Stegostoma tigrinum: one gene and its partners. The protein of the gene in region 1 binds, or shares a complex with, the protein of each later gene. Links are inferred from orthologs where the notes say so. Each region holds a gene or a part of one and is shown on either strand. Other genes may lie near its edges.

Region 1 (3,747 bases):
CGTCACTCCCTGGGTCAGTCAGTGCCCGGGTACGGTCAACCACCCGTCACTCCCTGGGTCAGTCAGTGCCCGGGTATGGTCACCCACCCTGTCACTCCCTGGGTCAGTCAGTGCCCGGGTATGGTCAACCACCCGTCACTCCCTGGGTCAGTCAGTGCCTGGGTATGGTCACCCGCCCCGTCACTCCCTGGGTCAGTCAGTGCCCGGGTACGGTCACCCGCCCCGTCACTCCCTGGGTCAGTCAGTGCCCGGGTATGGTCACCCACCCGTCACTCCCTGGGTCAGTCAGTGCCCGGGTATGGTCACCCACCCTGTCACTCCCTGGGTCAGTCAGTGCCCGGGTATGGTCACCCACCCGTCACTCCCTGGGTCAGTCAGTGTGCCTCACTGCTCTCACCGACTGTATTCCTCTCGAATGATCTTCATTACTCGCCGAATGATGTTCCCCACACTGGTCTCCGAGGGATGAGCTGCAATCATCCTCCGTCCTTCAGTTCGGATCAATTTCAGTAACTCCCCTAAAAGGGGGTAAAATCAGAATATTAGAGACAGAAACAACCAGGCTGTTGGTATAAATACCCAGGAGAGACAAGGAGGGAATAAGTACTCAGACCTGGGGGTAAATACCTGGAATCTGAGGGGGCAGGGTGGCGGCTCTGGGAGACTAAATATCCAAGCCCAAGAGTAAATGTGTAGAGCCTGGAGAGGTGGTGGTGTGGGGGTAACTACCCCGACCCGGGGAGTGGGGGGGGGGTAACTACCCAGACCCGGGGAGTGGGGGGGGGGGGATACCCAGACCCGGGGAGTGGGGGGGGGGGATACCCAGACCCGGGGAGTGGGGGGGGGGGATACCCCGACCCGGGGAGGGGGGGATACCCAGACCCGGGGAGTGGGGGATACCCAGACCCGGGGAGGGGGGGATACCCCGACCCGGGGAGTGGGGGGGGGTAACTACCCCGACCCGGGGAGTGGGGGGGGGGGATACCCAGACCCGGGGAGGGGGGGAGGGGGGGATACCCCGACCCGGGGAGGGGGGGAGGGGGGGATACCCAGACCCGGGGAGGGGGGGAGGGGGGGATACCCAGACCCGGGGAGGGGGGGATACCCCGACCCGGGGAGTGGGGGGGGGGTAACTACCCCGACCCGGGGAGTGGGGGGGGGGGATACCCCGACCCGGGGAGTGGGGGAGGGGGGGGATACCCAGACCCGGGGAGGGGGGGGGATACCCAGACCCGGGGAGGGGGGGATACCCAGACCCGGGGAGGGGGGGATACCCAGACCCGGGGAGGGGGTAACTACCCAGACCCGGGGAGTGGGGGGGGGGGATACCCCGACCCGGGGAGTGGGGGGGGGGGGGATACCCAGACCCGGGGAGGGGGGGATACCCAGACCCGGGGAGGGGGGGGGATACCCAGACCCGGGGAGGGGGGGGGATACCCAGACCCGGGGAGGGGGTAACTACCCAGACCCGGGGAGTGGGGGGGGGGGATACCCCGACCCGGGGAGTGGGGGGGGGGGATACCCAGACCCGGGGAGGGGGGGATACCCAGACCCGGGGAGGGGGGGATACCCAGACCCGGGGAGTGGGGGGGATACCCAGACCCGGGGAGTGGGGGAGGGGGGGATACCCAGACCCGGGGAGTGGGGGGGGGGATACCCCGACCCGGGGAGTGGGGGAGGGGGGGATACCCCGACCCGGGGAGTGGGGGAGGGGGGGGATACCCAGACCCGGGGAGGGGGGGAGGGGGGGATACCCAGACCCGGGGAGTGGGGGGGGGGATACCCCGACCCGGGGAGTGGGGGAGGGGGGGATACCCCGACCCGGGGAGTGGGGGAGGGGGGGATACCCAGACCCGGGGAGGGGGGGATACCCAGACCCGGGGAGGGGGGGATACCCAGACCCGGGGAGTGGGGGATACCCAGACCCGGGGAGTGGGGGGGGGGGGGGATACCCAGACCCGGGGAGTGGGGGGGGGGGGGAGATACCCAGACCCGGGGAGGGAGGGGGGGGAGATACCCAGACCCGGGGAGGGGGGGTAACTACCCAGACCCGGGGAGTGGGGGGGGGTAACTACCCAGACCCGGGGAGTGGGGGGGGGGGGATACCCCGACCCGGGGAGTGGGGGGGGGGGGGGGGGATACCCAGACCCGGGGAGTGGGGGGGGGGGGGGGAGATACCCAGACCCGGGGAGGGAGGGGGGGGGAGATACCCAGACCCGGGGAGGGGGGGTAACTACCCAGACCCGGGGAGTGGGGGGGGGTAACTACCCAGACCCGGGGAGTGGGGGGGGGGGGGATACCCCGACCCGGGGAGTGGGGGGGGGGGGGGGATACCCAGACCCGGGGAGGGGGGGATACCCAGACCCGGGGAGGGGGGATACCCAGACCCGGGGAGGGGGGGATACCCAGACCCGGGGAGGGGGGATACCCAGACCCGGGGAGTGGGGGGGGGGATACCCAGACCCGGGGAGTGGGGGGGATACCCAGACCCGGGGAGTGGGGGAATATTCCCTCTTCTCCGCTACCTGCGTTGTTCCACCTGCTGTGGGCCACTATCTGCCGCAGGAGACCCGCGGTTCCAGCCGCAACCTCCCCGGAGCGGCGCAGCTCGCCCCGGGACAACTGGCCAAGAAAAGCGGCGACCCGCTCGGACACATCGGGCTGAGCGGCCGGCATGGCGGAACTAAAATACAGTTTGGGGGAAGGGAAAGACCGACGGATAGAGCGGAACCGGAAACCACCCATCGCCAGTCAGCGGCACAGGCCAGTCGCCATGTTGGTGAGGGAAGGCGATTCCAAAAAACAAACCCTCTCCCTTCCCCCCCGCCATTACCCATCCCCCATCTCACCCTCTCCCCATCCCCCATCTCCCCTCCCCCATCTCACCCTCTCCCTTCCCCCCCGCCATTACCCATCCCCCATCTCACCCTCTCCCCATCCCCATCTCCCCTCCCCCATCCCCCATCTCCCCTCACCCTCTCCCCATCTCCCATCCCCCATCTCACCCTCTCCCCATCCCCCATCTCACCCTCTCCCCATCCCCCATCTCACCCTCTCACCATCCCCCATCTCACCCTCTCACCATCCCCCATCTCACCCTCTCACCATCCCCCATCTCACCCTCTCTCCATCCCCCATCTCACCCTCTCCCCATCCCCCATCTCACCCTCTCACCATCCCCCATCTCACCCTCTCCCCATCCCCCATCTCACCCTCTCACCATCCCCCATCTCACCCTCTCACCATCCCCCATCTCACCCTCTCACCATCCCCCATCTCACCCTCTCTCCATCCCCCATCTCACCCTCTCACCATCCCCCATCTCACCCTCTCACCATCCCCCATCTCCCCTCCCCCATCTCACCCTCTCCCTCTCCCCTCCCCATTACCTGTCCCCCATAGAACATAGAAAAGTACAGCACAGTACAGGCCCTTCGGCCCACGATGTTGTGCCGTGGAATAATCCTAATCCAAAAATAAAATAACCTAACCTACATTCCCCTCAATTCACTGCTGTCCATGTGCATGTCCAGCAGTCGCTTAAATGTCACTAATGACTCTGCTTCCACGACTACCACTGGCAAAGTATTCCATGCGCTCACAACTCTCTGGGTGAAGAACCTCCCTCTGACGTCTCCTCTATACCTTCCTCCTAACACCTTAAAACTATGGCCCCTCGTGGCAGTCAATCCTGCCCTGGGGAAAAGTCTCTGGCCATCGACTCTATCCATGCCTCTCATTACCTTG
Region 2 (3,747 bases), about 69 Mb from region 1:
TGGAATCTGTCATGCAAATTGGGCACCGTTGCATTAATTATCTGTCTGTGTTATAATCTCCGACTGACACTCTCAATTTTTATTTAGTTTCGACTGTAAAAGTTCCTTTATTTGGAAATAGTTCGATGATTCAGGAAGAAATGGGCCAGCACTTTTAAACGCAGTTTCATTCCAACAGCCCTTCACCTGAGCCAAAATTTAAAATGCTAAACTTTAAAATTTCCAGGTCGGAGCACTAAAGCAAAAGTCAAACTTGAGATGGCTAAAAACCGTAATCAAAAATCTGACACTCACATTCGCGATGGGAAGATCTCAATCCTCTCCTTGCCTGACATGTTTGGCTATTTCTTGAGGTGGGGGGGGGGGGGGGGGGGAAGATCCAATAGCTGGTGGAAAAGATGAAAATCTTTGCAATCGACAAGGAGTGTCCCGTGACCTTCAGCAGGTTGTAAGGCTAAGCCCTAGTGGGGCTACTTCCTCCTATAATTTTCTACTAACTTTCTTCGGTCGACTCGAGCAAATTGTTGGTTTCCACGGATCAGCAGCTGGCAACATCACGTGACAGGGCGGAGGTGACCTGTGACCTCCCTCACCACCGGGTTAACCGTCGTCCAAATATTCTAGATGGGGATTTTAATTTTTTTAAATGAAGTATCTCTTAGTGTTGCTGTTTGCTTCGCCAATTCCATATCTCACCGTTTTATCTCGCTGTTATTAACTATCTACGATCCTTTACCAAGATGGCGGCGACACGTCGTTACACCCGGCTGCCCCTTCATTTCCAGTCCTCCGTCAATACTAGAGAGCGAAAACCTAACAAAGCTATCGTGCAAAAGCACAATGTGTGTGAGTCGCGTCTAATGAATGAATGCTACAAATCAAGGCCGCTCCGCGATATCGATCGCGACTTCCAAGGTTACTTGGAGTGACGTTTCACTCCGCCCTCCTCTCGGCTTCAGGTCGCAGCTCCGCGCTTGCGCAGAAGCGGGGTTTCTGGCGAAGGGACGTACTTGCGCTGCGCACGAGAGATTCTGCGGTGCAGAGATAGTAGGAGCTGCAGAAACGTTAGCTTTCCTGCACCTCTGATGCTGCTTGGCCTGTTTTCTTCAGCCAGCTGTACACCTTGTTATCTCAGATTCTGCGGTGCAACGTGAGGATAAACATTGCCGCGCCTGCGCAGAATAAAGCGTGCGCCGTAACAGTTACGGAAAACGGCGTCGCGCCTGCGTAGAAAAGTAATTGTGGGAACAACGGAAATAGCGCGAGTCGGAGTGTGGGCCTGAGGTGCTGACCGTCCTCGTTCGCAGCAGCGCTGCCTACAGATTCTGCTCAAGTAAGTGAGTCCCAGTGCTGTCCTCATATCGGGAGCCGCAGTCCACCCCCCACGCCACTGATTCGCTGGTTAAGGCGGATCTAGATTCCGGCCCAATGCCAGCATGTTTTATGGTCATGTCGGCTCCTCAACTCGGGCTTCACCTGCGGGCCCATCCGGGCCTCTCTCTCTCTCTCTCTCTCTCTCTCTGTGTGTTTTTTTTGTGCGGCCTCTTTCTATCACTCGTGCCATTTTTCACTCCACTTTAAAGCTACCACCTGGAATGTGGCAGCTTCCAGGGTGGTGATGTCCCCACTTCTGACCCAGCAGATCCAGGTTGAAGTCCCATCTGTTCCAGAGGTATTCCACGAACAGGTTGATTAGAAAATAATTACAGCCACTGTGATTAAACTGAGGATTCTTGAAGTTCACAGATGGAAGGTACTTTGATTGCATCATTCTTAAAGTGAAATCCCAAGGGATGAAAGGCCTTAATATTCACTTCGTGATCAAGGAATTTCTTTTCTATCTTTGCTGATTTAGGAATTGAACTAGGTTTGGCTTGAAGTTCATACTTCTGTCAGACTAGGTATTTGGAATTAAAGTTTTAAAGAGATCTTCATTATGTCACGAGTAGGATGAAGTATTCAAATGAGGTATGACTGCATTATTGCTGACTGCTTTTCAGTTTTCTAATTTCTTTGTAGATAGATATTTTTTTTTATTAGCCTTGTCCAAATCTGAATCCTTGTCCTGAAGCTATTTACATGAAATAAAGTACAGATGATCATTATTGAAAATAGCATTGAAATGAAAATTGTACCATGAAGTATCAGTTGTGTCACAAAAATGGTCAGATTAATTGTCAGTTTGAACTGATATATGCAATTAGTGTTGGCTGGAGGCTGCTGTTGATTTCTGATTGAAGTTTATTGAGACATCTGAAGCCTGCCTCAAAATATGTTCTTAGGTGTTGATTCATGGCTCCATTGTAATTTCTTGTTTGGTGTTGGAATAATTACATGTGCAAGTCTCCAATGGCAGATTGGAAACTTCCTACAAAGTGTCAATATCAAACTTTATTAGTACTGTTGATATCTTCTAATCAATCTGTTCAGAGATGTCATTCCACACATAGAACCTAGGCCCACACCTTGACTTAGAGGTAGGTACCTCCTAAGAGTCCCATTGTGGTACTTTATTTTAATCAAGCTGCTCAGATACATTATGACACACATCTGAAGGATTGAAGCTGGGCCTCCTGGCTCTGAAGTAGGGACAGTGCCTTCCACCAGGGTGTCCAGTCTTGTTTCTTTATATCCTGGGGAATTAATGGAATTCAATTCATATGCATGGTCCTATCAGCAAGTTGTCCCTTGGCTTCTTCTGTGTTGGGAATGGCAGTCTGCAGCCTTGTTTAATCAAGGTGAGACTCTGCCTCATGGGAGTAAAATTGAAACTGTGGGCCCAGTGGAAATCCAGCTTCTAGTGGCATCTTTTACATCTGAAACTTTGCTGTCAGAATACTCTGCCTTTTTGCTCCCATGGAAGCACCAGGGCTTGATCTGTTGTATTACAAGTGTAGTTTTGTTTTGGCATCTTGCACTGGCCTTGTGGGCCAGAAAGCTTGAATTATGAGGAAAGGTTGGATAGGCTTGGGTTTTCATTGGAGCAGAGAAGACTAAAGGGCGATCTCATTGACGTGTACAGGATTATGAAGGGCATGGATATAGTGGATAAGGAACCACTGTTCCCCTTAGTTGGAGGGTCAGTGGTGAGGGCAGAAGGTTTGAGAGATATGTGGAAAAAATCTTTTATCCATAGGGTGGTGACAGTCTGGAATGTGCCTCTTTGGAAGGTGGTAGAGACAAATTGCCTCCATGCTATAACAAGTACATGGTTCAGTACTTGGCATGTCAGAACGTTCAAGACTGTGGGCTAACCGCCAGTATTGGTTCAGGCTCGATGGGTTGAACAGTCTCTTCTGCTCTGTTTCATTCTGTGACCTCATGATTTGGTGTTCATCTTTTTGAGAATTTAGGCTTGAGAGTTCAGAAACATTTCCACTGAGCAAGAGAAGACTAAGAGGTTAAAATTATGAAGGGTTGCGAGGCAATTTGGCCAACAGCTGTTTTAAAATCTGGGTCAGTTGTAGGAGGACATCAATTGAAATGAGTTCGGCAAGTTAGGATAAACTTGCAGGAACTTGCCCTGCTCTGACACAGAGCAGTGAAAGCAGAAGCCAGTGCATCTTTTAATGGAAGGGAAAAGTATTAGAAGAGATGAGATTTTGAGGATAAGTGTAACTAATGGGATGATTTTCAATTATTCTAGCAGTAAGCTAGGTCATGAAAACACACCTTCATAGGTAAATTCCTGTGGTTCCAAATTCTCTCTAACTCTTTCCCTCACCATTAACAAAGAAATTTCACGTA
Region 3 (3,747 bases), on another chromosome or scaffold:
ACAATCATTTGCAAATGACCCCCTTTATAATTATTCCCCCAAGACTACTTTGATTAAATTTCTCCTGTGTCATCAGCTACCTGGTGTGAACAGCTAACATTACTAGTTGTCTCACAAGGCTTAAGTCCACTTCTCTGGGGTTCAGCTCAGTTCCTAAGAACAAGAGAGCTAAGAGCAGAAGGAAGCAATTCAGTCCCTCGAGCTTGCTCCAAAATTCAATACAATCATGGCAAATCTCATCTCGGCCGCAACTTCACTTTACTGGCAGTTCCCCATAACCCTTCAGCCCGTTACTAATTAAAAACCTGTCAATTTCTTCCTCAAATGTATTCAACATCCCAGCGTCCACTGCACTCTGGGGTAGCGAATTCCACAGGGTCACGACCCTTTGAGAGAAGTAATTTCTCATGTTTTAAATCTGCTGTCCCTTATCTTAAAACTATGACCTCTCATTCTAGACACCACGCAAAAGGAAAAATTCTCTTTGCGTCTACTTTGCTAATCCCCTTTAGCATTTATAATACACGCCACTGTAATCATGGTTGAGTGGTTAAGACAACGGATTAGGAAATCCAGAGATAATGGGAACTGCAGATGCTGGAGAATCCAAGATAATAAAGTGTGAAGCTGGATGAACACAGCAGGCCAAGCAGCATCTCACGAGCACAAAAGCTGATGAAGGGTCTAGGCCCAAAACGTCAGCTTTTGTACTCCTGAGATGCTGCTTGGCCTGCTGTGTTCATCCAGCTTCACACTTTATTATCTTGGATTAGGAAATCCATTGGGGTTTCCCCACACAGGATCATATCCTGCCGATTATACTTCCTCAAGTTGCAGATTTGGGATGGCATGGTGGCTCAATGGTCAGCATTGCTGTCTCAGTGCCAGGGACCCAGGTTCAACTCCACCCTTGGGCAACTGTCTGCGTGGAGTTCGCATTTTCTACCAGTGTCCGTGTGGGTTCTCTCCAGGTGCTCCAGATTTCTCCCACAGTCCAAAGATGTGCAGGCTAGGTGGACTGGCTGTGCTAAATTGCCCGTAGTGTTCAGCGATATGTCGATTAGGTGGCTTGTAGGGGAAATGAGTCTGGATGGGATGCTCCGAGAGTCGGCGTGGACTTGTTGGGCTGAAGGGCCTGTTTCCACACTCTAGGGATTCTATGATCTGTGAATTCAATTAGATCTTCTCCCGTTCTCCTAGTCTCAAGTGAGTATAGGCCTAAACTACACAGGTCTAGACTCATTAATGTCTTGTACAATTGCAGCAACAGCCCAGTATCATTGATTCCTTTACAACTGCAACAACACTTTCTTATTTTTATACTTTATTCCTTTAGAATAGAGAATTCCTTTGGAATTTCCAAAATTCCGTTTGCCTTTCTTATTACCTGCTGGACCAGCAATCTTGTTTGCTATAACTCATACACAAAGGACAACCAGGTCTCACTGCAGTAATGCATGCTTAAGTTTCTTTTCATTTATACAAGGTAATTTAGATCATAAGTTGCTGCTCTACTCTTAACAACCAAAATTGATAACTGAGCACTTATCCACATTAAACTCAATCTGCCAGTTTTTGGCCTATTCACCTAACCTATTCCATATATATTTGTACATTTAGTCATAGAGTCATATAGCATTGAAACAGGCTTTTTTCCCCTCACCATGTCAATGCCAAACAATAAGCACCAAACTACACTAATCACATTCGACTGCACGAAGTCTGTAGCCTGTTGTGCCATGGTATTTTAAACACTCAACCAGATGCCTCTTAAACGCTGCGAGTACCTGCCTCCACCACCCCCTCAAACAGCATGTCCCATGTATTTAACACTCTCTGGGTGGAAGAAACCTTTTCTCAGAGTTCTGAGAAAGGGTCACCAGACCTGAAGTGTTAACTCTGATTTTGTCTTCACAGATGCTGCCAGACCTGCAGTGATTTTCCAGCCAGTTTTGTTTCCACTCTTCACCTTTACTTTTCGATTGCTACTTACTTTCCCACCTAGATTAGTGTCATCAGCAAATTCAGCTATAGTACATCCTTTTGCTCTTTTTATTACATTTTTAGTAGCCTTTTATTGATCTTTAAGTTTCACAATCTTGCAGCCTGCCACTGGCCTTTGCAACAAGGTATAGTTTAGTCCTTTTTCTTGTCATTATGTAATCTTTAGCTTCCTTGCTTAGCCACGGATGTTTTCTCCCACCCGCCTTACAAGGGTTTTTACTTTCTGGAATATATTATAGTTGGGAGGATTCCATGCTCAAACGTGTCTTAACCAGGGATCGGCTCTTCTCCCCATTTGATTACAATGTCACCCAACCCCGAACCCGAACCCGAACCCATTCCCTTCCCCTTCAGTACTGCCTCAAAACTTCGCAGCTCCCTGTTTCCACTCATCCCAAACTTCCAAAACCCCCAGGTCCTACCGGCTCCATTCCCTTCCCCTCCCTCTAATTCCACCAACACAGCCCACAGACACACATGGCTCTCCCTCCTGTTTACCTCCTCGCTCCGCTCCCGGAATACGGCAAGGCCTCGGTCGGTGTCGAAAAGCAGCCGGAGAAAGGAACGAGGGGCGGTGAACCGAACTGGCGGGCCCAATGCGGGTCGTTAGACGGTGTACGAGTCTAAAAGAAACACTGTCATCTCACGTCCACCATGTCGTGTGTTCGGGTGAATTTGTGTCCGCAGGGAAACGGAATTACTGCGGCCCCAGAACAAGGTTCCGAGGGAGATCTCTCAGTGCGAACACTACACCTGCTCCCTCGCTCATTTCCACAACTCAACTGGTCTAAAAAAAATACATGAACAAGGCCACTTTTTCAAAATTATTGCATTCACATTATGTTCATTTCACTGAATCTCAAGATGGACTAATTACTTTGTTTTATAGGTGTTGATTGAAAGACAGAAAACGCTGGAAATATTGTAGCTAATTATGTTTGTTAAACGTTTTATGGCTGTGCATGCAGTGATAGGGTTGACACTAATGTTTTGCTATAAGCCCCCTCTCAGCAGTATTGGGTTTACATAGTCCACAGGGACACAGAGTGGCTCCCTTTTCTGTTTCAAACCCTACCAGCAAAGAATCTTTCCTGGCCTCTTTACAAATGGAAAACCAGTAATGATCAATCTTAGCCCTTTAAACTGTGGACACTTCTTAATTCCTGCAGCAGTACTACTGTTTCTTGTGCTTGCACTGCAATTTTCTTTCAGTATCTTAACACCCCAAAATTATATGGGGCCATATCGGTGAGACCACTGTCCTTTACTGTCGTTAAATGTGCATATCTGCCCCAACAACTTCAGACAAGATCAGATTCACAATTAAATGCAGAAATCCAAACACTAATGTCTGAATCATGGGCATAGGTGAGGTGAATAGTTTTCTTGTGTGGTGGAGTTCAAAACTAGGGGGCATATTTTTGAGGGGATTGGAGAAAGTTTTAAAAAGGACCAACTTTTTTACAATGTTTGGAATGAACTGCGGAAGAAATAATGGATGCAGGTTCAGTAACAACCTTTAAAAGAAGTTCGATAAGTACATGAGTAGGAAAGGTTTGGGGGGATCTGAGACAAATGCAGGCAACTGGGACTAATTTAGTTTGGGAACCTGGTCAGCGTGGACTAGTTGGACCAATGGGTCTGTTTCCATGCTGTATGAAATGTGCTGGTTTGCACAAACTGCTCTTCACTGTCTGGCTTGCCATTGGAATACATAAAGTTGCTGTATTTACACAGTAATTA

What was found.
Region 2: the proteins of eif2b2 (region 1) and eukaryotic translation initiation factor 2 subunit 1 are in contact, whole or in part, in a cryo-EM structure (PDB 6K71), measured with the Homo sapiens proteins. The link is inferred for Stegostoma tigrinum from reciprocal best matches to the Homo sapiens genes EIF2B2 and EIF2S1. Residues at the interface, in NP_055054.1 of Homo sapiens: Glu92, Arg95, Gln128, Ser131, Asn132, Glu135, Ala136, Glu139, Val142, Glu143, Glu145, Glu149, Asn150; in NP_004085.1 of Homo sapiens: Leu51, Ser52, Arg53, Arg54, Ile56, Asn60, Lys61, Leu62, Arg64, Arg67, Lys87, Ser91.
Region 3: eif2b2 (region 1) and eif2b3 share a complex: the UniProt entries of both Homo sapiens proteins name them as parts of the translation initiation factor 2B (eIF2B) complex. The link is inferred for Stegostoma tigrinum from reciprocal best matches to the Homo sapiens genes EIF2B2 and EIF2B3.

What each region holds. Positions count from the first base shown.
Region 1 is NC_081363.1:814,765-818,511, reverse strand, and holds the start of eif2b2 (translation initiation factor eIF-2B subunit beta), read right to left. Parts: upstream 2,706-3,747; 5' UTR 2,677-2,705; coding exon 2,526-2,676; intron 519-2,525; coding exon 398-518; intron 1-397. UniProt on the Homo sapiens protein: Acts as a component of the translation initiation factor 2B (eIF2B) complex, which catalyzes the exchange of GDP for GTP on eukaryotic initiation factor 2 (eIF2) gamma subunit.
Region 2 is NC_081363.1:69,341,798-69,345,544, reverse strand, and holds the start of eukaryotic translation initiation factor 2 subunit 1, read left to right. Parts: upstream 1-1,037; 5' UTR 1,038-1,333; intron 1,334-1,562; exon of another isoform or gene 1,563-1,753; intron 1,754-3,747. Other genes in the region: atp6v1d (V-type proton ATPase subunit D), read right to left, coding at 295-335. UniProt on the Homo sapiens protein: Member of the eIF2 complex that functions in the early steps of protein synthesis by forming a ternary complex with GTP and initiator tRNA. This complex binds to a 40S ribosomal subunit, followed by mRNA binding to form a 43S pre-initiation complex (43S PIC).
Region 3 is NC_081361.1:72,955,789-72,959,535, forward strand, and holds the start of eif2b3 (translation initiation factor eIF-2B subunit gamma), read right to left. Parts: upstream 2,770-3,747; 5' UTR 2,503-2,769; intron 1-2,502. UniProt on the Homo sapiens protein: Acts as a component of the translation initiation factor 2B (eIF2B) complex, which catalyzes the exchange of GDP for GTP on the eukaryotic initiation factor 2 (eIF2) complex gamma subunit.